Rattus norvegicus: one gene and its partners. The protein of the gene in region 1 interacts with the protein of each later gene in a biochemical or structural test. Links are inferred from orthologs where the notes say so. Each region holds a gene or a part of one and is shown in the gene's direction. Other genes may lie near its edges. The genes, in order: Plcg1, Sh3bp2, Itk, Erbb2, Lcp2, Sos1 and Pdgfrb.

Evidence for each region.
Region 2: the proteins of Plcg1 (region 1) and Sh3bp2 form a complex in vitro, tested with the Homo sapiens proteins (2 studies listed by BioGRID, with this or other methods). The link is inferred for Rattus norvegicus from reciprocal best matches to the Homo sapiens genes PLCG1 and SH3BP2.
Region 3: the proteins of Plcg1 (region 1) and Itk form a complex in vitro, tested with the Homo sapiens proteins (2 studies listed by BioGRID, with this or other methods). The link is inferred for Rattus norvegicus from reciprocal best matches to the Homo sapiens genes PLCG1 and ITK.
Region 4: the proteins of Plcg1 (region 1) and Erbb2 form a complex in vitro, tested with the Homo sapiens proteins (2 studies listed by BioGRID and IntAct, with this or other methods). The link is inferred for Rattus norvegicus from reciprocal best matches to the Homo sapiens genes PLCG1 and ERBB2.
Region 5: the proteins of Plcg1 (region 1) and Lcp2 form a complex in vitro, tested with the Homo sapiens proteins (2 studies listed by BioGRID). The link is inferred for Rattus norvegicus from reciprocal best matches to the Homo sapiens genes PLCG1 and LCP2.
Region 6: the proteins of Plcg1 (region 1) and Sos1 form a complex in vitro, tested with the Homo sapiens proteins (2 studies listed by BioGRID and IntAct, with this or other methods). The link is inferred for Rattus norvegicus from reciprocal best matches to the Homo sapiens genes PLCG1 and SOS1.
Region 7: the proteins of Plcg1 (region 1) and Pdgfrb form a complex in vitro, tested with the Homo sapiens proteins (3 studies listed by BioGRID and IntAct, with this or other methods). The link is inferred for Rattus norvegicus from reciprocal best matches to the Homo sapiens genes PLCG1 and PDGFRB.

What each region holds. Positions count from the first base shown.
Region 1 is NC_086021.1:169,832,655-169,836,453, forward strand, and holds the end of Plcg1 (1-phosphatidylinositol 4,5-bisphosphate phosphodiesterase gamma-1), read left to right. Parts: coding exon 1-62; intron 63-139; coding exon 140-288; intron 289-1,184; coding exon 1,185-1,299; intron 1,300-1,408; coding exon 1,409-1,570; intron 1,571-1,641; coding exon of another isoform or gene 1,642-1,646; exon of another isoform or gene 1,647-1,666; coding exon 1,667-1,755; intron 1,756-1,848; coding exon 1,849-2,033; intron 2,034-2,203; coding exon 2,204-2,246; 3' UTR 2,247-3,386; downstream 3,387-3,799. UniProt on the Homo sapiens protein: Mediates the production of the second messenger molecules diacylglycerol (DAG) and inositol 1,4,5-trisphosphate (IP3). Plays an important role in the regulation of intracellular signaling cascades.
Region 2 is NC_086032.1:80,434,971-80,439,437, reverse strand, and holds the start of Sh3bp2 (SH3 domain-binding protein 2), read left to right. Parts: upstream 1-1,599; 5' UTR 1,600-1,645; coding exon 1,646-1,734; intron 1,735-4,467. UniProt on the Homo sapiens protein: Binds differentially to the SH3 domains of certain proteins of signal transduction pathways. Binds to phosphatidylinositols; linking the hemopoietic tyrosine kinase fes to the cytoplasmic membrane in a phosphorylation dependent mechanism.
Region 3 is NC_086028.1:31,260,504-31,264,302, reverse strand, and holds part of Itk (tyrosine-protein kinase ITK/TSK), read left to right. Parts: intron 1-142; coding exon 143-207; intron 208-291; coding exon 292-410; intron 411-3,243; coding exon 3,244-3,401; intron 3,402-3,799. UniProt on the Homo sapiens protein: Tyrosine kinase that plays an essential role in regulation of the adaptive immune response. Regulates the development, function and differentiation of conventional T-cells and nonconventional NKT-cells.
Region 4 is NC_086028.1:83,924,578-83,928,376, forward strand, and holds part of Erbb2 (receptor tyrosine-protein kinase erbB-2 precursor), read left to right. Parts: intron 1-1,068; coding exon 1,069-1,116; intron 1,117-2,179; coding exon 2,180-2,318; intron 2,319-2,406; coding exon 2,407-2,529; intron 2,530-2,665; coding exon 2,666-2,764; intron 2,765-3,203; coding exon 3,204-3,389; intron 3,390-3,525; coding exon 3,526-3,681; intron 3,682-3,792; coding exon 3,793-3,799. UniProt on the Homo sapiens protein: Protein tyrosine kinase that is part of several cell surface receptor complexes, but that apparently needs a coreceptor for ligand binding. Essential component of a neuregulin-receptor complex, although neuregulins do not interact with it alone.
Region 5 is NC_086028.1:19,145,397-19,149,799, forward strand, and holds the start of Lcp2 (lymphocyte cytosolic protein 2), read left to right. Parts: upstream 1-1,449; 5' UTR 1,450-1,609; coding exon 1,610-1,687; intron 1,688-4,403. UniProt on the Homo sapiens protein: Adapter protein primarily involved in signaling pathways within T-cells, as well as other immune cells such as platelets, mast cells, and natural killer (NK) cells.
Region 6 is NC_086024.1:20,327,371-20,331,169, forward strand, and holds part of Sos1 (son of sevenless homolog 1), read left to right. Parts: intron 1-211; coding exon 212-339; intron 340-1,085; coding exon 1,086-1,741; intron 1,742-3,799.
Region 7 is NC_086036.1:56,804,714-56,808,512, forward strand, and holds part of Pdgfrb (platelet-derived growth factor receptor beta precursor), read left to right. Parts: intron 1-475; coding exon 476-581; intron 582-1,280; coding exon 1,281-1,513; intron 1,514-2,650; coding exon 2,651-2,810; 3' UTR 2,811-3,799. UniProt on the Homo sapiens protein: Tyrosine-protein kinase that acts as a cell-surface receptor for homodimeric PDGFB and PDGFD and for heterodimers formed by PDGFA and PDGFB, and plays an essential role in the regulation of embryonic development, cell proliferation, survival, differentiation, chemotaxis and migration.

The sequences.
Region 1 (3,799 bases):
TGACCCTCTGCCCATGTGGATCTGTGGCAGCCAGCTTGTAGCTCTCAATTTTCAGACCCCAGGTGAGGGGATCCTCTGTGGGTGGGGAGAGACACTTAGGGCAGTTCCGCTAGAATGTACTGTAATCCCACTCTTCCAGACAAGCCTATGCAGATGAACCAGGCCCTCTTCATGGCTGGTGGACACTGTGGCTATGTGCTGCAGCCAAGCACCATGAGAGATGAAGCCTTTGACCCCTTTGATAAGAGCAGTCTCCGAGGTCTGGAGCCCTGTGTCATTTGCATTGAGGTGGGTATATTTATCTGGGTGCCTCAGGGCGGGAGAGGGCTATGAAGAATATTGATATTGACCAGGTGGATCAGCACAAGTGGGAGAGGGCAGCACCAGAGGTGAGCTGCAGTGCTGTCCTGTGTGGGGGAAGGGAACTTATCTTGAACTGTTCTCGAGCTTGAAGTAGAACCATCTGAGATGGGGAGCTACGAGCTTTGTGAGGGTTGGGATCCCAAAGGTAGCATGGCTGATCATGGCCAGTTTGGGCACAAAAGAGTTAGGCTGTCAACCTAAGCCTAACCTGTGAAAGTCACTACCTGGCAGGAGGAACCTGGTCAGAGTGGCACAAATCAGGCTAAAGGGTCTGCAATGAGCCAGGCTGCTGTCTGCAGAACCAAGCCAGACCTGGGCTTGCTAGAGCATGGCCAAGCAGCCTGTTTCCTTAACCAGTTCCTAGAATAGAGCTCCCCAGTACATGTCTGGTGAAGAGCTATGATCAAGGTCAGCCTAGCCCTTGCTGTGGGAATCAGCAGAGGTGGCTTCAACAGAGTCTGGAAAAAATAAGGCTAGCCTGTGGCCAGCAGGAGCACAGGGGGACGGGTGGACTGCTTCTTCCCAGACTTTTCTCCTAAAGTGGAATAAATTAAAAGATTCTCACATTGCAACAGACATGGATTTAATGTGAAATGGACTGCAAAGTGCGTATGACCCTTAGCTAGAGCTCAGGTTTTCACAGTCAACAGCTTGCTCTGGAGTGGAACAGTGAGGGGCCTAATGGCCAGCACCTTCAGGGCCCAGCAGGGGGCATACTGCCTCCATGGCACATTTTCCTCCTTGATGTGCTCCTCAAGCCTCTGCTGTGAGGATGTTGGGGTCAACAGTCCTCACCCCGTCTCTGCCTGTCTGCCTCACAGGTGCTGGGGGCCAGGCATCTGCCGAAGAATGGCCGGGGTATTGTGTGTCCTTTCGTGGAGATTGAAGTGGCTGGGGCAGAGTACGACAGCACCAAGCAGAAGACAGAGTTTGTAGGTCAGTCGGTTGTCCCCCATTACCAGTTATTTTCCTGGGGTGTACGGACCTCTCTACCAGTCATCACACCCCCTTGATGTGGCCTCAGCTTTTGCCCTTGCTTTCACAGTGGACAATGGACTGAACCCTGTGTGGCCTGCAAAGCCCTTCCACTTCCAGATCAGTAACCCAGAGTTTGCCTTTCTGCGCTTTGTGGTGTATGAGGAAGACATGTTTAGTGACCAGAACTTCTTGGCTCAGGCTACTTTCCCAGTAAAAGGCCTGAAGACAGGTGAGGAATCTTCCTTAACGTAACATCTTGGTGTCAGGGTGGGGCTTATCCACTTGCGTGACACCTGTTAGGCTGAGAGCCAGGTATTTCTCCTAGGATACAGAGCAGTGCCTTTGAAGAACAACTACAGTGAAGACCTGGAGTTGGCCTCCCTGCTCATCAAGATTGACATTTTCCCTGCTAAGGTAATAGCTACAGCAGAGTGAGCAGAGAGCTCAGTCCTAGCCCCTGAGATACAGAAGACACCTCAGCTTTTGTGCACTTCCCTTGCCGAGCAGGAGAATGGTGACCTCAGCCCTTTCAGTGGTACATCCCTAAGGGAACGGGCCTCAGATGCCTCCAGCCAGCTGTTCCATGTCCGGGCCCGGGAAGGGTCCTTTGAAGCCAGATACCAGCAGCCATTTGAAGACTTCCGCATCTCGCAGGAGCATCTCGCAGACCATTTTGACAGTCGGGAACGAAGGTGAGGGAATGACAGGGAAACTGGCCAGTTTGGGGCCTTGGAGGAAGGGTGCTGGGGCCAGAAAGAACAGCAGTCCTTTGACGGCTTCCTCCTATGTGGAAAAGCAGTAACTGCTTTTGGGTTGTCCTGTCTGGCTGCAAGGCCAATAAGGACACTTCACTTCTGTTCAGGGCCCCAAGAAGGACTCGGGTCAATGGAGACAACCGCCTCTAGTCATGCCCCTACCTTGTTGGAGAGCAGCAGGCGCTGCCACCTGTGGAATGCCATGAACTGGGTTCTCTGGGAGCGGTCTACTGTAAAGCCTTCCTGGTCTCACAGCCTGGAGCCTGGATTCCAGCGGTGAAGGCTAGACAAAACCAAGCCATTAATGAGATGTACTGTTTTGGGCCTCCATGCCCAGCTCTGGGTGAAGGCAAAAAACTGTACTGTGTCTCGCATTAAGCACACACATCTGGCCCTGAATGTGGAGGTGGGTCCCTCCATCTTGGGCCAGGACTAGGGCTGAAGCCCCTTGGAAAGAGAAGTTGCCTCAGTTGGTGGCATAGGAAGCTTCAAGGAGCTGCTGACACATTCCTGAAAGAGGAAGAGGAGGAGGAAGAAGAGCCTTGCTGGGCCAGGGGAACAAAGTTTACATTGTCCTGTAGCTTTAAAACCACAGCTGGTCAGGGTGAAAGAGTAGATGCCCTGAGGCTTGGCCCTGGAGCCAGGTCAGAGGAATGCAGGGCCTGTAAGGAGAAGGCTCTGCTCTGCCTGAGGAGGAAGACAGCACAAGGGCACATTGCCCACGGCTGGGTATACTACCCAGCCTGAAAGATACAGGGGATCATGATAAATAGCAGTATTATTTTTTTTTCTTCTCAGTGGTATTGTGACTAAGTTATTCTGTCCTGCTCCTCACCTTGGAAGGGAAGACCCAGCACAGAGCCTTTAGGAACAGCAGCTCTATGGGGTGTTGTTACTGGAAGAGGGCACTGTCCAGAAGGGTGGAGGGGCAGAAAGAGAGAAAATCGATGTCTACCCTGGTGAGCGTTTTTGTTTTTATGGCAAGGAAGGCTCATTATGCTCTCCCAAAGGAATGGAGACATGGGTAAGTGGAGTCAGGCAGTAGGCACCAAATGAAGCTGCTGCTTGGTAGTCTCTGTGTGGTTGGTAAAAAGATGCAAAGGAGATGGGAAGGTAAGCCTCACCTCTGAGGACAGGGTGGGGTCCAGGCCTGTGGGTGCAAAGGTGCCTCAGCATAGCCAGCATTCAGCACACGCAAACCCACTGCCCACATTTGGGCTCAGGGTTGGCCATTTGCTAGTTCTGCTGCCCTCTTAAGATCTGACTGCCAAATAAATCATCCTCATGTCCTTTTTCTTTTAACTCGTTTGGTTTTGGGGGGCTCAGGAGAACATGGTGATTGGGAATTGAAGCAAGTGTGGTATAATCTCCCTGGAGACTTGGGAAGTCACAGAGTTCTTGCCTGTGGCTCTAAAATGTGATGCCCCCTCTGCCCCCTCACCTTCTAATGGTGTTGCTGAAGTCCACCCCCGCCAAGGAGCGAGCTCAGCTCCCACTGCACAGAAACTACTTCAGAGCAGTCACATTTGCTTATGTGCTGCCAGGTGCTGCTCTTGTTCGCCTCTAACTGCCAGTCAGAAGCTCTGCCCACCATGCTGAGGGAGGCCTGTTACTCCTTCTGAGCCTTTCCTGTAGCCCTCTGCTGGAGCAGGACAAAAACCAGGCCACAGCGAAGCAGTGTACCACGTGCTGAACCAGCTGGT
Region 2 (4,467 bases), on another chromosome or scaffold:
AGATGGGGGCATGGTGGGTACCCTAGAGGATGGGCATCTCAGCCAGTCAGCACCTGTCTTCTTAGCCACTGGGATCCATGAAAGCTAAACTGTGGGCAAGTGGTGTTACCCTAGGGCCAGAGACAGGAATAATGAGTGTGGGTCAACTCTGAGGGCTGAAGGGTTAGGATTCTGGGCATGCTCCCTGCTCCTCTCTTCATCCTCTTCACCAGTGGAGAACCCAGTGCCTCGTTGGCTGAAGTTTCCCCCATGTCTTTTACTGCCTCCTTTCCCAAGCCCTAGGTTTTCTGGTCTTTTCCTAGTGGGCACCAGCCTCTCTATATTTGCTCAATGCTTGACCGAACTAATTTCCTAGCCTATACCCAGTTAACCCCTCTGCCTGCGGGGATGCCTCACATCAAAGAACTAAGTATGGGTCCTTTGGACCTGGGCAGCCCTGGAACAGACGTGGACAGGGACGTGTAACCCACACTTGTGCAGCTATGGATGTCCCGAGTCCCCGCCAGCAGCTCAGCACGGGTGGACTCCTACTCAGCCCCTTCAGCCTCAGCCTGGTCTGGAGCATCCATTGTAATCCTTATCTCTATAGCAGTTAGGCCCCTCCCATCTGGGTAGCTCCCTCCAGAGCCAGCCCTTCCTTAGCCCATAGTTCCCTAGGTTTAAAACCTATATGTTCCCCTGGGGACTTCTGCCAGCCTGACTCCACTCCAGACTCATATCCCTGCCTGGCCCCAGGGCTCTCTTAGGAAGCCATCTCCTCTTAGGTGGTCACCCCTCCCCAGGTCCCTGCCCCTTGCGTGTGGTCCCCCAGGCCTATAGATAGGCTTAGCAGAAGGCTTAAGTGGCTGTGCACAGGAAGCCTTGAGTCCTTGGCTTCAGCATAGCAACCCAGTGCTGGCCATGAATTTCCAGCCCATGTCCTACAGGCAATATTTCCTTTAGATGTGGCTGAAAAGTCTCTAGTAGGATTCCAGAGGTTCCCAGCAAACCTTTCCTGACTGTGAGGGGGTTAATGGACAGGTGACAGGTGCCCTTACCTGGGGCCTAGATTTTTTTTTTCCCCCCGGAGCTGGGGACCGAACTCAGGGCCTTGTGCTTCCTAGGCAAGCGCTCTACCACTGAGCTAAATCCCCAACCCTGGGGCCTAGATTTGAGTCAGCCCCACCCAGCACAGCAGACACATGCTGCTATCCCAGAGAGGATACCACCGAGGAGACCACCGGATCAAAGGTGTGTGTGTGTGTGTGTGTGTGTGTGTGTGTGTGTGTGTGTGTAAGAGAGAGAGAGAGAAAGAAAGAGAGGAAGACTCTCTGCTCACTCAGACACCTGCCTACATCTAGTGGGCACCTACTGCTTGCTGGTTACAGACACCTTAGTCCACCAACCAATCTCTGACCAACCAGAAAAGGTGTGTTAAGCTGCCAGAGCATGAGAGGGAACGGGTGGAGAAGTTAGACCAGGGGTGGGGCTCATTGATTAGTGCGAGGGCGGGGCCTGAACCTGGGAGGCGGGGCCAGATTGGAGGCGGAGCCTGCACCGGAGTGCCTGCTGCCCGCCCAGCTGGCTGCAAAGCGAAGCAACAGAGGAGGGATCCGCCTCCCGGACGCAGAGTCGGTGGGCTGGGAACCGGCGGGTAAGGCACTGCATGGGTTTTGGGACCGGTCGTGGACATGCGCGGCACAGTCGTGTCTCAGAGACCTGCCTGGGTCCCTGGAACCTGTGTCCCGCTGTGAGGTGGGAGTCGGGTTCTTATAAATCTTTTTTTTTTTTTCTCTTTTCTTTTTTTCAGAGCTGGGGACCGAACCCAGGGCCTTGCGCTTGCTAGGCAAGCGCTCTACCACTGAGCTAAACCCCCAACCCCGGGAGTCGGGTTCTTAGGGCGGACCGCGGCAGTCTGGGCTCAGGGCTGGGCGTTCAGTCTAAGAGAGAGGGCTGCTGTTTCGCGTGTGTCCTGGGTCCCTCCAGTCCCTCCGGCTCCCCTGGCACCCGTTGCTAGACCCAGGTTACAGGGCTCATCTAGCGGGGCTTCCAAAGACTTAGGAGGTGAATTTGCTTTCATTCCCTCCAAACTTTTCTTCCCACAAAGGCTCCATGAAGTTTAAGAGAAAAGCCACCTGTTAGTGCTGATTCACACTGACGAGTGAATGACTGGGTGTGGGGAGTTTGGAGATTTTTGAGGAGGAGTGAGTCTCTGAAAAGATAGAAGACTGTTCAGAGCGTTGTAGGTTAGCGGACATGAGGGTTTCCACCTCCACCCTTCTGTGGCTCTGTGCCTTGGCTGTTAACAGTTTGAGAGCCCCCTTGGAGCCAACTCCCTCTGCCACCTCCCATGACCCTACGCAGCTCCTGTTCTCTCTCTCTCTCTCTCTCTCTCTCTCTCTCTCTCTCTCTCTCTCTCTCTCTCTCTCTCTCTCTCTCCTCGTTCCTTGACACTGCTAGTTCTGTGCCTCCTAGGCAGGTGACTCCAATAAGAGCCCCTGAGAAGCCACCCCTGCTGGGCACAGTGTGGGACCTCGGGACTTACTACATGTGACTGTTAAGGATTCTATTGCTCAATCTTTTTTTTTCCCCCCTGGAGCTGGGGACCGAACCCAGGGCCTTGCGCTTGCTAGGCAAGCGTTCTACCACTGAGCTAAATCCCCAACCCCTGTTAAAGATTCTAAACCCCACCTGAGGGGGCTCTGGAAATATCACCTACTGGATCATCGGTGAGATGCACAGAATTGTTTCACAGCACAGGTCAAGGAGTTAGGTGCTGGGCTGGGAGTGAGAAAATGGACTCAGGTCAACTCTGGGTGACCTAGGTGAGTGCTGTGCTCACCGGCTTCAGTCTCTTTGGACCACTGTGTTCTTTCCCTGGCAAGGAAGCCCAGCTTAGGGCCCCAGATTAAGCTCTCCACTCCTGGGGCCTGGGATGGCTCCAAGGAGATGTGAACCACAGGTCTGTCCACCTCCTTTTCCATGCCCTCTCTGCCTCTTTGGGACCTGGCTCTGGGTTCTGGGTGGAGACATACCCTGGCAGAGAGGACAAACTAAAGGGTAAACAAAAACTGATGGGCAGGGGCTGGGGATTTAGCTCAGTGGTAGAGCGCTTACCTAGGAAGCGCAAGGCCCTGGGTTCGGTCCCCAGCTCCGAAAAAAAAAAAAAAAAGAACCAAAAACTGATGGGCAAATTCACCTGGCAAGAGAGGAGTTGAAAGGGAGACTGGCCTTTGTGGGGAGCCCCCTACAGGGTTATATGGAAGCCCGCTCAGGAGGCTGGGCTAGGAGAGACAGAAGGAAGGAAGGTAGACTCCAGGACTGCCTTGGCCCTTCCTTTTCACTTCCTTCTCAGAGGAAGTGGGGTGCTGAGTCAGTCCCTAGTATCCTTTTGTCCCCATATGGGTGCATGAGCATATGTTGGCCTACAGAAATCCAGGAAGCCCGGTGAGTCAAAATGACCTGCTTTAATCATAGAAGGACAGATGGAAGGACATAAACCCAGGCTGGGGGCTTGGGTTCAAATCCATCTACATGATATTCATCAGGCATTTCCTCTTGCCGAGCCTCCATTACCTCTGTAACATGAGGGTTGGCAAACACTTTCTACCTGAGGGTGGTTATGAGTGACCACAGTCTGCTAGGGGTAAGCAGCTGATACTCAGGTGACGGGGGTGTGTGTCCTGGTCAGACAGGGACAACAGACCATTTTGACTTGTGATGGGCAAGGCCAGGCCTGGAGAGGCCTGGGGCACAGAGCAGGCTTCCAGGTCCCTGTTTGTATTGGTCCTGTGGGTAAACACCTGAGTCCACAAAGACTGACCAGTGTGGGTTCTGTCCTCAAAGCTCCAGGGTGGGGACCAAGGGTCAGAGACTCTGACAGACCTCTTGCCCTGCCATCATCTGCCTGGTTCATGTCCTTCCAGATTCCCTGGGCACAGACAGGTCTGGTTCTTTTATAAACCTGCTTGGCAGAGGAAGTGGGCAGCCTGGGCAGAGGAGGTGGGGAACCTAGAGCCTGGGAAAGGCAAGATTTATAGGAAAGGGACTCTTGGAGCTGGGCATGAAACTGTTAGGAAGGGACGGACAGACAGATGAACAGACAGACCAGGGAGGATGGCAGATCATTGATCGAAATGCCCTTGGTATCCCAGACATGGTAAAAACATGGAGGAGTCTGAAGAGTCAGAGAGGGGCCTCTTCACACCTCAGAGTCCTCCTCGGAGAGTAAAGTACCCCAGTGTGCCTCTGGAGTACTCCCCCCATGTTTGGGGACTCAAGGGCTAGAGATGGTCCCGTGTGTGGGTGCACAGGGGTTGTGGGCATTTTTCATGCCCACTTCCACCTCCCTCACAGCCCCTCAGCCCAGGGAAATGCTGCAGCCTCCTGCCTTGATTCAGGGTCCTGGGTCTCCCAGGCACATTGTACTTCTTCCTTTTCTTAATGACTTATTCATTCTATGTACACTGGTGATTTGCCTGGGTGTCT
Region 3 (3,799 bases), on another chromosome or scaffold:
CGGTGATGCTCAACATCTGTAAGGCTCTGAGTGACTTTGTACAGCAACACAGAGAAACAAAGCCTAGTGACAGGAGTCCCTTCCTCTCCTGGCTCACCACCCACGACTTTATTTCTCATTTGCCTACCTGTCTCTGATCTAGGCCGCCAGGAACTGTTTGGTGGGAGAAAACCAGGTCATCAAGGTGTCCGACTTCGGCATGACAAGGTAATGGAAGGGTGTGGGATCAGCTGCCGTCAGGAAGGAGACTCAGCCCTGCACTGTTCTGACCTCTTCCTCGCCTCTTCCCAGGTTTGTCCTTGATGATCAATATACCAGCTCCACGGGCACCAAATTCCCAGTGAAGTGGGCATCCCCAGAAGTGTTCTCCTTCAGCCGCTACAGCAGCAAGTCAGATGTGTGGTCATTTGGTAAGTTTCACCCTGAGCCCGCCCCTGTGTGATCTGGAACTGTGCACCAGCTGTTTCCTTCTCAAATGCAAACAAGTCTACTTTGTTCTGACCCCTGTGTGGAGAAAGAACCCACGAGGGCCTGCGTGAGAACAGCCTGAAATGTCCGAGCAGCCTCTTTTTGCTGCCTTTATCTCTAGATATCTTTAGAACGGCTAAGAAATTAAAAATAATAATGGAAAAGGAGACTTGGGGTAGCTACTGTGAGCTGGAAAGCTGGAGTTGTCGGGAGATTGGAATATGAAGCTGAAAGCAGGACCTTACTGGGTCCAACATTCCCATACTCAATCCTCCGTAAGCTCTTGTCACTTCACCATGGTTTCCTGAGTGTCTGTTACACTCCTGGGCTACTCAGGGGCTGAGAAGCAGGAGGGCACAGGGCAGAAGAGACTTCTATCCTCTTGAAGCTAAACTTTTGGGGAGAGGAGACAGATGACTGTCACTGAAGTGGAGTTTGGGTCCGTGAGTGCTGTGACTCAAGGAAAGCAGCATTGGTAGAGAGTATTTAGGGCGGGGGAAGGGTCCATTTTACCCAGTACGCTCTGGAAAGGCCTTCTAGAAGTAACTCTTGGACAAATGTCTCCATTCAAATATTCATGAAGCTGTGTCCCTGGCAGGGACGAGAAAGTATGAAAACTCAACTACATCCAGAGATAGCAAGAGTTCCTGAGTTACAGGGAGAACAAAGACAGCAGTAACAGTTGGTGGGAATGAATGACATTAACATGTGGGAAAGGTTAAATAACTTGCTGAGTTTGACGTCAGTCTAACTCACAATTTGTGCACACAAACAGTGTGCATGAAAGTGTACCAAATAGCCGCTCCAATATGATGACTGTACAGATGGCACTTCGGAGAGAAACTGCTTTGGGTTGACCTTGCTATTCTATGTGAAAGGTTTTCCAGGGCACAAACTCAGTGGCACGAGCATGGGAGATCAAGTCTCCCAGGGTAAGAATCGGTGCTGCGATCTTCACTTTAGAATGCCCTATTCCCACGAGTCCAGAACTTGTTAATTATGAATCTTTCTGCTCTGTTCCTTAGTTCAACACACACACACACACACACACACACACACACACACACACACACACACCTCTGGGCTTGGCTGTTACTGTTAACAGGGTAGAAGTTACAGGATGAATTTGGAGGCAATTGTTCTGGTGTCTTCCTTGCACAACTGTCCACAAGTATAGAAGAAGGCCAGAGACAACTCGTGGCTATCTCTCTGTGGGTTATAGAGCCACGGACACTGCCAAGGTGGCACCCAACAAAGATGTTTAGAGTGTGAGCTATACGCACTTTCACCAGCACATTGCAGAAGGGAGTTTGGGAAGTCTTGGCGTGTCAACCAGAGGATAGTCTACTGGGTTTTCCAGAAGTCTAAAGTGCATCCCTTCCTGAGATGTGTGATTTGAAAAGAGTCCAGGAATGAGGTTGAGAGACAGGGGTAGAACAGAAACAGGTAGGAGCAGCAGGGCACACTGGCGCATAACACGGGGGGAGGCAGAGGCAGATCTCTGAGTTCCAGGGCAGCATGGTCTACAGAGAGAGTTCCAGGACAGCCAGGGCTTTTACACAGAGAAATCCTGTCTCAGAGAAAAAAGACAGATAGGCGGACAGGCAGATGGGAAGATAGACAGGTGGACCGACAGAAAGAGGAAGAAAAGAGAAAGACAGACAGTAGTATGTGCAAACCACAGCAACCTGCAGGCTACGAGCCTCCTGCCTGGCTCAGCCTTGTGGGTTTTGTCATAAACGCAGTCTGTGTGATTTATCCCATTGCTTTTATTGAGCGAGTCAGCAGCCTCTATAAACTCTGCCTCTTCATGCCTCAGAGGGTTCACGTTAAAGCAGTCAATACCCAGTAGCCCCAACAACTCACTTCAGAAGACACCTTACTAGAAATCCTAGCACCTTGGGACACTGAACAGTCTTCCTCACAGTCAGATTCTGATTTCCAGGTCTTTGGGCATCTCAGAGGAGCCTGCAGGTTAGTGACCCCAGGAGGAGGGTATTAGGGTGAGGTTCAGAAGTCTCCCATTCGAACAAGTGTAGGAGCTGGCTCTTAGTGGGTATTTGAGAATCAAACTTTGGGGAACTCCATCCTCCAGTCCTGTAGTTTTACCCCTCTGGTCAGGACACCAGCAACCTCCATTTTTTTTCTGAGTCTGTGATCTGTCAGTACACGAGAAAGACAAAGCTGAGGCAGCTTGTATATGGATGAAGGAGTGAAGAAACATACTGTGGGAAGATGCTTTCCCCTCAGTGTCTACAAACAAGTTAAGATTCTGTCTATGAAATGCCTGACACCACAAATGGTTTAGACTTTAGGTTTGGAATATTTGCATGTATATATACGTAAAGGTATTTATAGCTACGGTGTGGGGTAGGAGAGAGAGAGAGCAAGAGAGCTTGGGAATGAAACTGAAGTCTAGACATAAATCCATTTGCTTTGTATATACCTCAGAATCTCTCCAGAAGAACTAGTGGCCTTTTCTAGACTCCTCAAGCACATGCACACACATGGCGATCATTCATACACACACACACACACACACACACACACACACACACACAGAGAGAGAGAGAGAGAGAGAGAGAGAGAGAGTAAAATAATATTTTAAAATAGAACAATGAAAAAAATTAAGGGAAGGCCTGATACTGCACTTCCAGACGTCTAGAGGGGTAGACTTAATACTCACTCCAAGGGCCCTGTTGCTTGTGGGCGTGAGTCTCTCTGGTACATGTGCACCTTCCCCCTAGCTGTTTTTCTGTTCACTGCTGCTTCTAGGTGTACTGATGTGGGAAGTCTTCAGCGAAGGCAAAATCCCATATGAAAACCGAAGCAATTCAGAGGTCGTGGAAGACATCAGCACTGGCTTTCGGTTATACAAGCCCCGCCTGGCCTCCCCTCATGTCTACCAGGTCATGAATCACTGCTGGAAAGAGGTCAGTACACAGGGAGATTCCCCCTGGATCGTAACACACACTTTCAGGGTCCGCATCAAGCGAGAAAGGACATGACCTACAAGGATGGGGATCAAGGAAGACCATAATAAACAGGCAGGGCTTTGTACATGTTTCTGCATATAATCATGTTTTAACTATACGTACATAGGGAGTACAGTATGATCTTTCAGTGTGTGGTTATCAATGTGGTTCCTTGGCTTTTATTGTTTATTTCTTTTTTATTGTTGAGTAGTACTCCATTTGTATGGACATACCATAGTTGGTTTATTCATGTGCTTACTAAAAGGAGCTCTCAGTTTCCAGCAATTATGAGAAAACCTGCTATAAGCATTTACTGCATGTGAATCTATTAAAGTGAATCTAACGGACATAAATTT
Region 4 (3,799 bases), on another chromosome or scaffold:
AATATGAGGCTGGTTTAACTTATACTGAGGTGTAATTTTTATCTCTCTCTCTTTTTTTTATTCATTTATTATATATAAGTACACTACACCTCTCTTTAGACATACCAGAAGAGGGCATCGGATCTCTTTACAGATGGTTGTGAGCCACCATGTGGTTGCTGGGAATTGAACTCAGGACCTCTGGAAGAGCAGTCAGTGCTCTTAACCACTGAGCCATCTCTCCAGCCCTTATATCTCTTTTCTAATTACAAAAATAACACATTTGGGTCTGGAGAGGTGGTTAAGATCACTCGCTGCTCTTTCAGGGGGGTGAAACTTGGCTCCGCATCCTCTCCTACAAGGGCATCTCCATCTACCCCTCTACAAACGTCTCAGTTCAGAGCATGTCGCTCAGGACGGGCCCTGTTTGAGGGATGTCACTCTCACTTGCCTATTTATTTCATCCTGACCACCGCTTTCCCTCCTCCCCTCCCCTCAGCCCCTCCAACCCCCAATCCATTCCTCCTCCATTTCCTCTCAGATGGCATATCAAGTTGCAGTAAGACTAGGCTCCTCCTCTTCTAGTAAGGCCTGATTTTTTTTTTTTTTAAACCAGCCCATTGCTGTTCAGCTCTACACACAAAGGGGCGTCTGTGTGCATGCCTTCTTGTGACCTGGTGTTGGCATGGTAGTACCGACTGTTGAGGCAGAACTGTTGATATTTTACTGCTTGGTGGGTGGAGATGGATGCCAGGACCTTGTAGACCCTTTCCTTGTAGCCCTGCCCCGGTGTGTTTAATAGATCTCCTCAAACTCTCCTTCCATGTACCATATACCCTAGGCCTCTTTTGTGGAGGGGCTAGCTGACCTTCCCGCCCTAATAGTGCTTCCTGCTCTCAGCACAGGAAGTTATAGCAATGCAGGGGAGGTGGGCTCCCAGACTGGAGAGGGAATCTTCTTGTGGGCTGGTACAGAACAAATTGGTGACCTGGAGCCCTGTTTCTGTTTGTCACATGGAGTAATCCTGCCACGCCCACCCCCGGAGCCTGTCCCCAGGTTTGATGATGGCACTCTCTCTCTCTTCTGCAGCTGTGTGGATCTGGATGAACGAGGCTGCCCAGCAGAGCAGAGAGCCAGGTGGGCCCCCAGAGGTACCCCCGCACCCCCGACTCCTTCATTGGCCTCGGTGGTCAGTAATGAAGAGAGATTAACCAGCATGCTGCATGTGCCTCTCTCCTTAGTCCCGTTCTTTCTCTATTAACTTTTGTTTCAACAAGTGGATAGTCCTGCTCAGGATGCTGTGGGGTAAGGGATGCTGGGAAATGTAGTTCCCTAGGGATGCAGTGACAGCGTGCAGAGCCTGAGAGTATTCTAGCTGGGCAGCTAGAAGCTTCCAGGATGGAGTATTGTGCTTTTTGTGCCCTCAGGTGGAGAGTCATGTAAATCGAGGGTGGCTAAGAACTCTCTGGTGTGTGCTATGAGCCACACCAGTGCAGAGGGGTGTAAACTGAAGTTGTGAGATACACAGATCTGGAGGGTAGGGTAGAGTTCTTGACCCCTGGGCCATGGGACTCTGGTTTGTCAGAGGAGAGTGGTAGAAGGGAGAAAAGCAGTCTAGGGTATGCTGTTCGCCTGTGAGGCAAACATTAGATGCTGGCTCTAACGACAGGCCTCATGCAGAGCAAGATGGGGTTTCAGGGAGCAAGGATGACAAGAATGAGTTCTGCCCGGACATGTGGCAGACACCTGTAACCCCAGCACTTGGGAGACTGAGGCACATGGATTGTGAATACAAAGCCAGCCTGGGCTATTCGTGAGGTAGCCTCAAAACTAAGTATACCAACCAATAATGGTCTCATGAGAATCCAGGGACCCTGTGTGCCCCAAGATGAGCTGAATCATAGACAATTATATCATGGAGAAATAAAGGTCCTGGTAATGGGAACCTGCGACTGCAAGGCTCCTTGAAGAATGCTTTGACTAGTACCTGAGAGTCTTGGGGTACATATTACTAGACCCTATTTCCTGTGTGGCAGAAGCCCCTGGGGGTGGGCTGCACAGTGCAGACTAACAAGGCCTTTGATGCATTTTTCTCCCATGAAGTTTTGGAGCCCAGGAACACTCCTGTCCCTTCATGGGGGTCTCTCCAAGCTTCCTCCTCAGACTAGCCCCTAATCTCTGACTCTGGCTCTGTTTCCAGCCCGGTGACATTCATCATTGCAACTGTAGTGGGCGTCCTGCTGTTCCTGATCTTAGTGGTGGTCGTTGGAATCCTAATCAAACGAAGGAGACAGAAGATCCGGAAGTATACGATGCGTAGGCTGCTGCAGGAAACTGAGGTGAGGCATGGTGAGGGCCTCCTAGTGCCCCCCTCGGACTTACAGCTTATACTCAGCACTCACCCTACCTACTACCCTCTCTGTTCAGTTAGTGGAGCCGCTGACGCCCAGCGGAGCAATGCCCAACCAGGCTCAGATGCGGATCCTAAAAGAGACGGAGCTAAGGAAGGTGAAGGTGCTTGGATCAGGAGCTTTTGGCACTGTCTACAAGGTCAGGAGGGACCAGGTTCTGGCATGGGTGGATCTAAGGGAGGGGCAGGGTCAAGAGACAGGAGTGAGCCAAGCTGGAGGCTACTCTTCAATGGCTTGTTGGGGAGCCTGATTCAAGTCCTTTTCTTTTTGCTCAGGGCATCTGGATCCCAGATGGGGAGAATGTGAAAATCCCCGTGGCTATCAAGGTGTTGAGAGAAAACACATCTCCTAAAGCCAACAAAGAAATTCTAGATGTAAGCCCCTCCTCTCTAGGGAATGTGAGGAGCCTCCCTTTCACCCTCTCCCTTGGGATTGTGAGGACCCCAGCCCTTCACCGGCCTCCCTTGGGAATGTGAGAAGACCCCCTTCAGGCTCCCCCTTGGAAATGTGATCCCCCTTCACACTCCCCCTTGGGAATGTGAGGACCTTCCCCTCCTTCACTGTCTCCTTTGGGAATGTGAGAAGCCCCTCCCCTTCATGCTCCCCCTTGGGAATGTGAGGAGCTCCCAGGTGCAGATCTGGGCTGCTTTCTCCTCATCAGGGTTTGAGATAGAAGCCCCTAAACCTTGACTCTTAACCTTCCTAGTCTGGAGGCTCTGGTTGTAGCCAGTGAGGGATGGGTGAGGGTCTCTGGGAGAGGAGAGTGGATGGAAGTAGGTGGCTTCCTGTATCCCTTTGTACCCTCGTCTGCAGGAAGCGTATGTGATGGCTGGTGTGGGTTCTCCGTATGTGTCCCGCCTCCTGGGCATCTGCCTGACATCCACAGTACAGCTGGTGACACAGCTTATGCCCTACGGCTGCCTTCTGGACCATGTCCGAGAACACCGAGGTCGCCTAGGCTCCCAGGACCTGCTCAACTGGTGTGTTCAGATTGCCAAGGTATGTGCTTTAGGGGTTGCTGGCTCTGGAGATCCTTTGGGTGCAAGTCCCTGCCTTCATTTGGGGCCAGGATGAGGTGGGAGTGTCCCTAAGGTGAGATTTAGACTCACGATCCACACTGGTGCCCTCTGTCCAGGGGATGAGCTACCTGGAGGACGTGCGGCTTGTACACAGGGACCTGGCTGCCCGGAATGTGCTAGTCAAGAGTCCCAACCACGTCAAGATTACAGATTTCGGGCTGGCTCGGCTGCTGGACATTGATGAGACAGAGTACCATGCAGATGGGGGCAAGGTTGGAGGAGCAGAAGGGTGTGGGCTGGATGGGTCTCAGGCCTTTGGGAGAACTTGGAGAAGGGTCACCTCCTACCACACCCAGTCAGGACTCTTTGCTCTGCATTCCCAGGTGCCCA
Region 5 (4,403 bases), on another chromosome or scaffold:
TCACTACATCTGCATCTCATTTAAGCTCACAATCAGTAGCTGAGACAGCTACTAGAGGCAGCAGGGCTTCCTGTAGTACATAGAAGAAGAGCATATATGACTAAAGCTACCCTGGACAACCCTTCAGGACAGCACCTCAGCTACCAATGGTGTATTATTCAAACATTGGAACAGAGAGCTATGCACACATGTACATTCCCATATGTGCAGTCATGTATGTACACATACATAAATGGAACACCGGCTAACCTGCATTTACGGGTCGCCTTATTGCACCAAAGTATGCTTTTAACCTCAGGTTGCACTCACTGCCAAGGATTGTTTCAGTCTGTGAGAAGTGTATAGAGTCTGAGGCTGGAGGAGGAAGCAACTGATCTCCATCTCCTATCTCCAGACAATATACTCTTTGTCTAGACATATGGTAGAATCAGTAGCAAATGCCATATATGGAAAAAACAATGGAAGACAGACTATAAGGCAAGGAAGCAGTGTATAGAAGGTGCGTCATCAATAGCAATGATTGTTTAAACTTTTAATGCTTACACTTGCCTAGCAAATGCACCAAAGTTTTATGTGTATAACCCTTCTGTTTCCTTTCCTTGCAGATATGGAAACCATCTACTTAGACTGTCATTCCATGCTCAAGACTACAGTGCACAATCATTCACATCAGAAATGGAGCTGGTCCCTGCCCTGTAGCAGCCTTCACCGTGACTCCTTGCTGCTAAGAACCCAGGCATCATAACACAAAGAAGCAACTGGAGGCCACTCAGCTTTCAATAAGAACAAACTGGTGGGGAAGGAGGTCAGAAAACATTGAAAGAACCATCTTCCTTCTCTTATAGTTCACTAATAGATGAAATTATAGATAGTTTTAGGAAACTGTCAAAAAGAGATTCTTATCTGCAAAGACTCAGCCAAGCATAAATATGGTGTCCAGCTTTGGGTGTCTGTAATTCTAATGGGAAAAAAACATACTTGAGTTTAAGTCCCCTTTGCTGTTCATCCTGCTTGGCTAGGGTGTCTGGGCCAGTGGAGAGTTACCATCTCAATCTCTCTCTCTCTCTCTCTCTCTCTCTCTCTCTCTCTCTCTCTCTCTCTCTCTCTGTGTGTGTGTGTGTGTGTGTGTGTGTATGTATCTATTTCTGTCTCGCTGTGTCTCTGTGTGTGTGTCTATCTCTGTTTCTGTCTCTGTCTCTCTGTGTCTCTGTCTCTATCTCTGTGTGTGTCTATCTCTGTCTGTTTCTGTCTCTCTGTCTCTGTCTCTGTCTCTCTGTCTCTCTCTCCTCTCTGTTTCTCTGTCTCTCTGCATTGTGAGTCCCCAGAACTGTCCTTCCTTGTTTACTTATTTAGAAGGCAGCAGAGGAAGTGGTAAAGGAAACTAGCTGAGTCGTTTTCTGAGAAGAGACCATATTTGTTCACAGGGGAAGCCGCTGCTTTTGGGGATCTGGCTACAGCAGAAAAGACTCCTGCTCAACAACGGTGTTCCTGACGGTAGCTGGAAATCAGAAGAACCAAGGACACCACTGAACTCTGGATCTGGGCTTTTTCTCTGTTCATGGCTGCAGCACCTCTCCCCAGTTTGTGAGCCTCTCCCTGAATAGCAGCCATGGCCTTGAAGAATGTCCCCTTTCGCTCAGAGGTCTTAGCCTGGAACCCAGACAACCTTGCTGATTATTTCAGGAAGGTGAGTCTTTCCCTCTTGTGCTTCTGGTTGGGCTGGTATGCCTTCAGTTGGGTGGGCAGAGACTGGAGGTGGAATCTGGATAGAATGTGGAAGGCGTACGGGATAGTTGTGGATACTAGGAGACAGACAGACATTGCTTTCTTGGTAATGTGTCCTGAAGAGAAAGATGAAGGAGGGGGCCCTCAGCTGCACAAGTCCCTTGTACATACCACCTGTGCATCCAGTGCTTTACAGACTGTGTCTTGCCAGACACAACCCACTGTCATGGGAGTTCAGTGTTATCTTATTAACAATCTACATTGACAATGTTGTGTCATAACGACATTATTATTTTGCTCAGCTGAAAAGTCAACTCAGGGAGTTTAAGTGGTTCAAAGCTCTTAGGTCCTCTGCAATCAGGTCGGATTGGAGTCATGCCTATCCAGCTTTAAAGCACATGCTCTGGATTGCAGAAGCATACTGTGGTAAAGACTACTCACTAGAAAGGGAGATGGGGAGTCCTGGGGTAGGAAAATGAACAGGCAAGTCAGGAGGGAAGGACAGAGAGCTGGATGAACACTAGTGTTTTTGACATCTAAGGTTCATGACCCTGGAAGAGGGCTAGAGTCTCTTTATTGGCCAGAGTCTCACTAGAGCTTTATGAGAATCCTGGAAAGCCGTTCAGAAAGCAGACATGAGCCCTAAGATAGTTAGGGACACAGAAGACAAGTTCAGCAGACTTAGAAGTCAGGCTGGACCAGAGTTCTATTGTCCTGATTTCCAGGATAGAAGGAGTCCTTGTTAACTGTTAATGGGGACCACATATCTGCATAGGCATATCCCAAGCCATTAAACTCCTCTTGGGCACCCATGCCAAAGAGGTAAGAGATCTTATGAAAGACATGAGCTTCTATTGTTCATATCCCTGTATGCTGTCTTCATATTCCACTAATATTCCAGGCAGTGATGAAGATGATGTTCTAAAGCTAAGATCACAGACGTCATCTACTTTGACTCCTATTTTTCTAAAGAATAGAGACCCAAGAGGATAGAATAGGCCCCTTGGGGCATATAGTCAAATCTGTAATCTTTACAGCGGTTCCTTCCCAACCTACAGTAGAAAATGTGAGCATTTTGTACTGGGTGTGGCATGGCAAGAACACTGTGCACAGATCCTGCTATTTGCCACCTTTTGTGAATCTCATTTTGGTTACTTTTCCCTCCAATAAGCTCATCACAAACTTTCCACACTGTGGGTGGAGATGTGATTAGGCAATTGACTTTTGAGGTATGTTTTTGAAATACTTTTCTCAACTAGGAACCAAGTAAGGTAGGGCAGAAAGGCACAGTTTGCTGTGGCTCAGTGGAGACCTGAATTAGCTCAGTAGAGCAGAGAGAATGGGGATTGAAAATTAAGGCAGGGAAGTCTGTGGAAGAATCAGGAAACACAAAGGGCCCCATATTCAAGTGTAACTAGGGGATTATGTAATTCCACAGTGCCACAGATACTGTGTGGGTCAAGTTCCCTTCTTCACAGGGCGGGCCTGTGGTAGAAAGCCACATCCTAGGGATAGGCTTTGTCTTCTGGAGGGAAAGAAACAAGGAAGCCAGGGGTAGGGCAATTGGCAATTCTAGAAGGACCATTTGCCTACCAGAGACACAGAGACCCTTCAGACATCCAGCTCATCAGTCCCTAGAGAAAGCACTCTGTGCAATGACCACAGAGTCACTTAAAGATGCTCTTTGGAGATGAGTTGTACATGTAAATGGTTGACCAGCAAGTGTGATTTCTACAGAAGGAGTAGGGTTGGGTCATTGTGACTTCTAGCCAGCTTTGGAGTCAGACATGTTTTGGATTAAATGTACTCTTTCCAGCTAGCTTAGGGACTTCTTTTTGTTGCCTCTCCTTTGTGTACCTGAACTTTCTAATCAGTGAAAGAGAGGCATGAACAGTAACTAACCAGATGAGATGGAGGTGGAAAGGAAATGTGTGGGAGGCATTGAGTTCTATGTTCTATTGTCCTGCTTTTATAACCACCCCCTGCTGGGGAAGCTCAGACAGCCTAGGGAGACTTTGTGTCACATTGCCTCCGATATGTGTGTCTTGCCCTGCATTTGGGATAGAAACCATGAGGATTAAGGCCATAGTCTACTCATTCTTAACTCCTCCAATTGGTTTGGTCCTGGTAGGAGAGCATTCCTGGGCCATTTAGATAGTCACTGGCTTATAAAGTCGTGTGTTCCAACCCTGTTGGGTTTCTACCTCACCATGTGACCTTAAGCCAGACCATTCTCTCTGAGCCTCAGTCACCATCACCTACAAAGCTGAGTAACCACTTGATCAGTGCCTATCAATCCTGAGTGCTAATCAAAATTATTGAGGTACTTGTTAAAAATACAAATTTTAGATCCCAAAACTCAGTTCTTATTGGACTACATCAAATTTCCAGGTTCAAGGCTAGAACTCTAGCTTTGGTTTAGAGTCAAAACCAGCACTCTACAGAACCAGCAATTCATCTGAGAGTGATCACAGCAAAATGAACTAAAGGAAGCTGGTAGTTCCAAGAGCCTGCTATACACCTGGCATGTGGGTCAAGGAGATGGCAGGGTATTGCAGATGCTATCTGCTCTGGACATTGACCTAGAAATCAGCTTCCTTAGTGCAATGCTCAGTCTGCCCTTCCAAACTAGGAGGTGACAACAATCGTATTTTAAAATTATTATTATTGAGACAGGT
Region 6 (3,799 bases), on another chromosome or scaffold:
CAGCTCTCAACACCCACATAGTGGATCACAGCCACCTGCATTCCAGTTCCAGGGGATCTGACTTATAGGGTGCACTTTCAGACTGCAGGCAAACACTCATAACATAAAATAATACATCTATAGAACACTTAAAATTACTGGAGTAGGGAGAGCTAAATGAGCATTATTTATCCTTCAATAAAGTGAGGTTCTCCTTCTGCCCTTTCCACAGCAGTTAGAAGAAAAGAGCGAAGATCAAGAAGATAAGGAGTGTATGAAACAAGCAATAACAGCCCTGCTTAATGTCCAAAGTGGCATGGAAAAAATTTGCTCCAAAAATCTTGCAAAACGAAGACTGAGGTAAATATTCCCATTTTAAAGTTTCTTCCTTTCTATCCTGAAAGTTGTGGTACAAATTCAGGGGCCTTAGCTTCCCTCCTTGAGTAAACAATAAAGAAAACGGTGTTAGTGACAAGCTTGGTCTCTCAGAGGAAGTGACATCAAAGCCAGGAGAATTTGTTATTGTTTGAAAAACCTTTCATATTTGTGCATTTTCCCTGCTTGCTCCCAGACAAGGCCTCCCGAGGAGCGGCTGGTAAGCTGAAGGGGACAGAGCAGTGTCCCGGGCAGATCTGCCGGCGTCATTGTTATGTCAGAGGCAGGTTCGTAGGCTTGGTTAGTTTGGGGATTGTATAACTCAGACATTGATGCAGGTAGCAGATCTGCTTTCCCCTTGTAACATGTGCTTCTATCTCTGGGTCTTGTGCATTTAAAAACACTTACAATTTGCTTTCATATCTCATTTTTTTTTTACTGTGTTGGGCTACTTTTTTATAGTTATCTTTCTAAGTGTTTAATATTCAAGGCAGAGATAATTGTTTTGTACCTGACTTTATATAGTTCAACATCACTATTCTTTTTATAACTCTGAAAAATTCTGTGCTGTTTTAGCTTTTATAGGTGCGTAATTACATGTATTATTTGGGGAATTAGTAAACACATGTCAGTGATGTTCTAAGTTGTCTTTTACCCTGCCACCTTATCTGCATGAACTCTATATAAAGTCTGTCTTCTGTGTACTAATAGCATCTTTTCCTTTACCCCAGTGAGTCTGCATGTCGGTTTTACAGCCAGCAAATGAAGGGGAAACAACTGGCCATCAAGAAGATGAATGAGATTCAGAAGAACATTGATGGTTGGGAGGGGAAAGACATTGGACAATGCTGCAATGAGTTTATAATGGAAGGAACTCTTACACGTGTAGGAGCCAAACACGAGAGACACATATTTCTCTTCGATGGCTTAATGATTTGCTGTAAATCAAATCATGGGCAGCCAAGACTTCCTGGTGCTAGCAATGCAGAATATCGGCTTAAAGAAAAGTTTTTTATGCGAAAGGTACAGATTAACGATAAGGATGACACCAGTGAATACAAGCACGCTTTCGAAATAATTCTGAAGGATGGAAATAGTGTTATATTTTCTGCCAAGTCAGCTGAAGAGAAGAATAACTGGATGGCAGCCCTGATATCCCTGCAGTACCGCAGCACGCTGGAGAGAATGCTGGACGTTACAATGCTGCAGGAGGAGAAGGAGGAGCACATGAGGCTGCCGAGTGCTGACGTGTACAGGTTTGCAGAGCCCGACTCTGAGGAGAACATTCTGTTTGAAGAGAACGTGCAGCCCAAGGCTGGCATCCCCATCATCAAGGCAGGGACAGTGGTTAAGCTGATTGAGAGGCTCACGTACCACATGTACGCAGGTGAGACTCGGGGGAGGCTGCTTCCTGACTGACTGACTCCACGGGTGGGTCACTGTGCCTGAGGTAGAAAACTAACAGCAAGCAAATCCTTCTCACGTAGAGGAGTCGGCTAAACCTTCACTCTGTTCTCTTTGAAGCTTTTACCTTTTCTATCATATTTACAAAAGAGAAATGGTCACTTGTCTGGTGTTGCCCAGTAAAAAGCAGTAGAAAGAAAACTAAGCATCAATGTGATTGTCTAAAGGTTTCCACCCCTGTATTTTCTTTTCTTATTTTATAACTGGGCTACAGACTAAAACATCAAATATTTACCCATCATCAAAATTGTGCTGGTGGCAGAAACACGTATTTCTTACTCTCCATCCCTCCATCCTTTGGGGAGGCCTGGAGGCCATTCACATTGTCAGTATTTTGTTCTTAATGTTACTGATGCAAACGGTTACCTTAACAGGTTTTAGAGAAAACCTAGAAGGATGCTAGGTAGAATTAAATACAGTGGTTGAGAGGTAAAGGGCATACTACGCCATCTTACATGGTCTGACACATAGTGGGGAGTTTGATAACTGTCATCTCAGAATTGGGGTGGAGCAGATAGCACTGAGCTCACACTTTGCTCTGTCACCTATCAGGCTCCCGTTACATCCCAGAACCATAGTCTTCTTCTCAAACATTAACATCAAATGTATACCACAGTGTGTTGTCAGAAAGCACACACGAAACACTGGATGTGAAAGCTATTTCTGAGTTTAGATGGAAATTTTCAAACTCTTTTCTTTAAAAGAAATGTGTGTTTAAAATTATAATATGGTATTCTTAGATACTAGAATGTGAAATTTAACCTCTATCCCCATTCTTCTCATTTAAATACAGTCCTATTTTTAGGAAGTGTAAGTTTCTGCGGAAAATATTTATTTTCCCGCTTTTAAAATGTCCTCTAAGTGAGTTCTGTTTCCTTTGGAATCTATTCTGGTGCTAGTGAGATTGGCCTTTTAAAAACAGCCATTAGTTTTCCCACTTTGTAAACAGTGTCATTTAACAAGGCCTTCCCTTCAATAACAAGAGCTTCATATGGTTGGAATTACCAAAGGGAGAGCAGGTAAACTTGAGCACTATTTTTTATTAGTGATTTAAAACCACTTTTGAATGTAGCTGCCATTATCTACACATCTCTGGTCTATAAGCCAGAGTTTAGTTTTGTTTAGCTTTTGGACATCGACAGTGTTTTCCAAAGGTGAGTTGTGAGTTCTTACAGTGACTCACTCGGCCTCTCTGACTTACATTTTCAGTGGTCGCGCACAGGGGCTGGGGCACGTTGAGCAGTCTGCGAAGCCTCGTCTGGGGTTCTGGGTTACTATAAACTCTCACCCAGGGACTATAGTCAGGGTGTTTATTACTCAAGAATGAAGAAGTATTAAAATTTTTAAAAGAAAATGGAAGCTGCCCAGTAGTTACATAAAAGGTAAATAGATTACCTTTCTTGTTACATACAAAGCTGTTTAAAGAGCTACAGTCTTTAGTAACTATGAACTAGCTATCCACACAACCATCAGCCTTCCCTACACTGTTTAAAATCAGAACACATAACAGTACTTTGCTATGGTTTTCAAGTAATTTCTCAACAATAAAAGGTCAGGTTGTCTATCCTGCTACGTTGCCTTTGTTTGTAAATCCTTGTGAATTTAAAACCTGTTTGCTTTATCCTCATATGGTTTGCTTAATTTTTATGAAAAGAACAAAGGAAAAATCATACAAGTTCAATTAAAAGAAATGAGCCTGTGGATTGACAGCAGCCCTGCAGTTGCAGGGACTGACTTGGCCCTGAGTAACCTTAGAGTGTTTAGAGTAACTCATCCTATGAATTTTACCTCAGTGCAGCAAGGTGTTCTTTTTTCTATTAAAAATTAAATTTATTAATTACTTATATATTGTAAAATTTACAATTTGCTTCTAAAACATTTCTGTAATTTTTAAGCTACTGTATTTGACAGAAATAATTCATAATTAGCACTTCTAAACTACAACTAACTCACTTGTTTGTTTGTTTATTTTGAATGAGTA
Region 7 (3,799 bases), on another chromosome or scaffold:
TGGGGGTTCCAGGGAATCGCAACTCTTGTTCAAAGGCTAGACGAATCCTGCTAGAACTGGATCAAGGTGTTCAAAATGGTGCCATCAGGAAGTTCTTTCCCAGTCTAGGTCTCCACTTTCTCTATGCTGGCTTCAAATTCAAGCCTGCCCTGCACATGTGGCTGCCGTTAGCAACACCCTGACATCTTACTGCTTGCATTGCTCCAGTAAAAGACCAGCGCTGGCCTTTTAAGGGCTCAGCTTGGTCCCATACCATCAGAACCAGGCCTGAGTTGGGAGGATGAAAATCCCTATTGGTCAAATTCAGGTTACAGTGATTTCCACAATGTCTTAGACTGTGCAGAGTCATGGATGGGGGAAGCTGGGATCAATAAGCCACCAGGCTGCCCCTCCTCAGCCTCTCTCTCTCTCTCTCTCTTTCTCTCTCTCTCTCTCTCTCTCTCTCTCTCTCTCTCTCTCTCTCTGCTTCCATCAGCTATGAGATCATGCAGAAATGCTGGGAAGAAAAGTTTGAGACTCGGCCCCCCTTCTCTCAGCTGGTGCTGCTCCTGGAGAGGCTTCTGGGTGAAGGCTATAAAAAGGTATGTGGGGATAAGGCAGGGTAGAAGACAGTTGCTGGCCAAATCCTGTGCACTTGGCTGGGATTTGGGAAGAAATGTCCTTCACCCGCTCTGAGCCTCAGTTTCTCTGCTGGTCCTAGAAACTGTGAACTTATTTATTTTAAAAGAACCAAGATGAGGAAGCTGATTAATGTGACCCAGAGAGGTGCCGTAGGTAATCCTGTCTGTCAAACCTGTGTACCCTGAAGACATTGGTCCTTCTTCAGAAGTGTGAGCAACCCCAGGCTCTCTGGAACCCTCACTGCAACTACTTAAACCTTGTCCCAGGTTCATGCAAGACTGACAGAACCAGTCTGTCCTGAGCTCAGCTTGTCTTCCCATCTGGGGTGGTCCTAGGGAGATGGAGACAAAGTGGAGTCACCACTGTTTCATTGCAAGGGACACTGACCTCCAGCCCTAACAGGGAAACCACAGTGGCATGAGAGCCCATATCTATTTACTCTGAAGTGGGGTGGAAGTTAGGGTCATGGCTACCATGCCCAGCTCCCTGCCCTTCCCTAGGGGACTCTGAACTTGTCTCGGGATGCCAGGTAGGAGGGCAGCTCACCATTGCAGCTTTGTGCAGGACCTCGTTCTCTGAGCACTAGCTGGGGTGGAGGGTCTCTAAGACATTGCCCATCTCTCACCCATCTTTTCTTCATTCCCTGTCCTACGGTGCAGAAGTACCAGCAGGTGGATGAGGAGTTTCTGAGGAGTGACCATCCAGCCATCCTGAGGTCCCAAGCCCGCTTGCCGGGTCTCCACAGCCTCCGATCCCCTCTGGATACCAGCTCTGTCCTCTACACTGCTGTGCAGCCTAATGAGACTGACAATGACTACATCATCCCCTTGCCTGACCCCAAGCCTGATGCTGCTGATGAGGGCCTCCTAGAGGGTTCCCCCAGCCTTGCCAGGTAGCCACCCTGACCCTTTGGCGTGGACACTCATGTGTATAGTGCGTGTGCTCATGTATGTGTACACAGACTTGCCACAGAAGGACTGTCAGCTAGCTAGAGTAAGGCCTAACTCTTGCCAGTGGTCAGTAAGACTGAAGTTTATTCTGCACGTAGAGCTGCAGGCAAGAAAGGCAGATTGGAAAGAAAGGCGTTGTTGAGACTCCATTTGCAAGATTGTTTTTCCTTTTAAGGGTATCACCACCACAGGACCCTCTCTAGGTCCTGTGCTTGTCCCGAGGACAAAGAGGAAACATTTAGCATTTCCCAGCTGTTACTTTGGGTTATGGCTGCCCTTGACACCGTGCCCGGGAAGCCTGTTTATAGAAGATGGAGGAGTTGCAAATTCAGCTTAGAACTCAGACGGAGGAAGAGACCCATGGTCTGCCTTGGGTTGCGTCCATTGAAGGGTGGACTCTAGGGGAGCCATATTGCTTTCCTGGACTGATGTTCAGCCAGAGAGGGGACTCCCAAGATCAAGACAGATGAGTGGTAGGAGACACAGGCTGGCTTCTGTTTCTAGCCTGTCACTATAAAACTTCGACAGGCCTTGCCTCTGCGGGCCTCAGTTTCTCAGTAGGAACTAATAGTGCATGCAGGCCTTTGCAGGCCCTGAAGGCTGCATTTCTCTGTTAATGAGGCAGGCCTTGTCAGGTGGTCATAGGGTAGGTGTGAGGTTGGGGGGTGGGTAGGGGTGGTGTTAGGCTGTTCAGGGTCAACTCTGAGGTCACTTTGTTTTGTGACCTCGGACCAGATGTTCTGCCTTCACAAACCTCAATTTCCTTTTCTGGAAGGAGGAAACAGTGAAAAGTCCTGGGGTGGGGGACTACTATCATTTCCCTGAGCGCAAAGATGAGTACCTGACAAGTGGGGATAAGAAAGAAGCCTGAGAGCCTGATAGCCCTGCTCTCAAGTTCTAGCTCCCATCCTCAGCTGAGGTATGTCATGGAGCAATGACATAACCTCTCTGAGCTGCGCTCCCCTTGTAGTACATGCCTGTCAGGATGTAAAGCCAACGCACAGAAAGCTCTTAGACAAAGCTGATATATCTTCCTGGGGTTTCCCCCGGTTCCTTTCTGACTTATTCCCTTCCTCTAGCTCCACCTTGAATGAAGTCAACACTTCTTCCACCATCTCCTGCGACAGCCCCCTGGAGCTCCAAGAAGAGCCGCAAGCAGAGCCTGAGGCACAGCTGGAGCAGCCACAGGATTCAGGCTGCCCAGGACCTCTGGCTGAGGCAGAGGACAGCTTCCTGTAGGGACTGACTCCCATCCATCCTGCCAGAAACTCCCATCTGCCTCCTAGCACCGAACCCTCTTGGCCTGGCCTGGCCTGGCCTGGCCTGGCCTCCCAGCAGCAACACTGCCACAAGCTGTCCCCTTGAGGAAAGCCCTTGGTTTGCCCCACCCAAGGTCCAGGGACCAGCTTCACTTAGGAGGCAGGAGAACTATGGGGACTAAGCCTCTGCTTCTGAAAGGTCATAGGATTCTGAACCAGGGCTCCTCCAGAGGACTCAGTTTCCCCAAATATAAGAGGAAGAGTTGCACTTGGCTACAGGACAGGTACGGAGCCCGGACTCCTGTAGAAATCCTTGGGTATACGGTGATGTGTTCACATCCTCCTGTGTAGCAACTGCCCCTCAGCTGGATCATTCTACTTTGATCTTCCCAAGAACCGGGCAAAGACCCAGTGCCCGGCTCCCGGCCAAACCGACAAAACTGAAGCCAGCCTTGGACAAGGTCATTTCATTCAGAACCCACCTCCCATGGTCTTAGCTTTCCCAGGCCCGAGCTGGACTGGGGCCAGCCATGCTTAATGAATGCTGTTAGTGTGAAGGTGAGCTGTGCACAGAATGCTCTGGCCTGCAGCCCCACCCACGGCACTCAGGGTACACCTGGCCACAGGAAGCACCCACTCCTTTTAGCCCCACGAGTCCTAGAACTGGTCCCTTGTCACTCTCAGTTTGACCTGCCCACCAGAGTCTGCAGGGCCATGGTCCACTCTTGTGATATGCTAAGGATCTGCCTGACATGCTCACCAGTAGGAGCCCTGGCTCTGCACTGAACCTGCTATGAGACCTTGGGGGCCTTCCTTGTTCTCTCTGGGTAACGGTTTTCTTTCCCCTTTGAAAAATGAGCAAGTTGGACACACAGACTCTGAGTACCCTGTCACTAGTACAATTCTAGTGTGTTCTGGGAGTTTGCTCTTGTCTGGAGAAAGCAGGGTCAAGTCCTTAAACTAACCTTT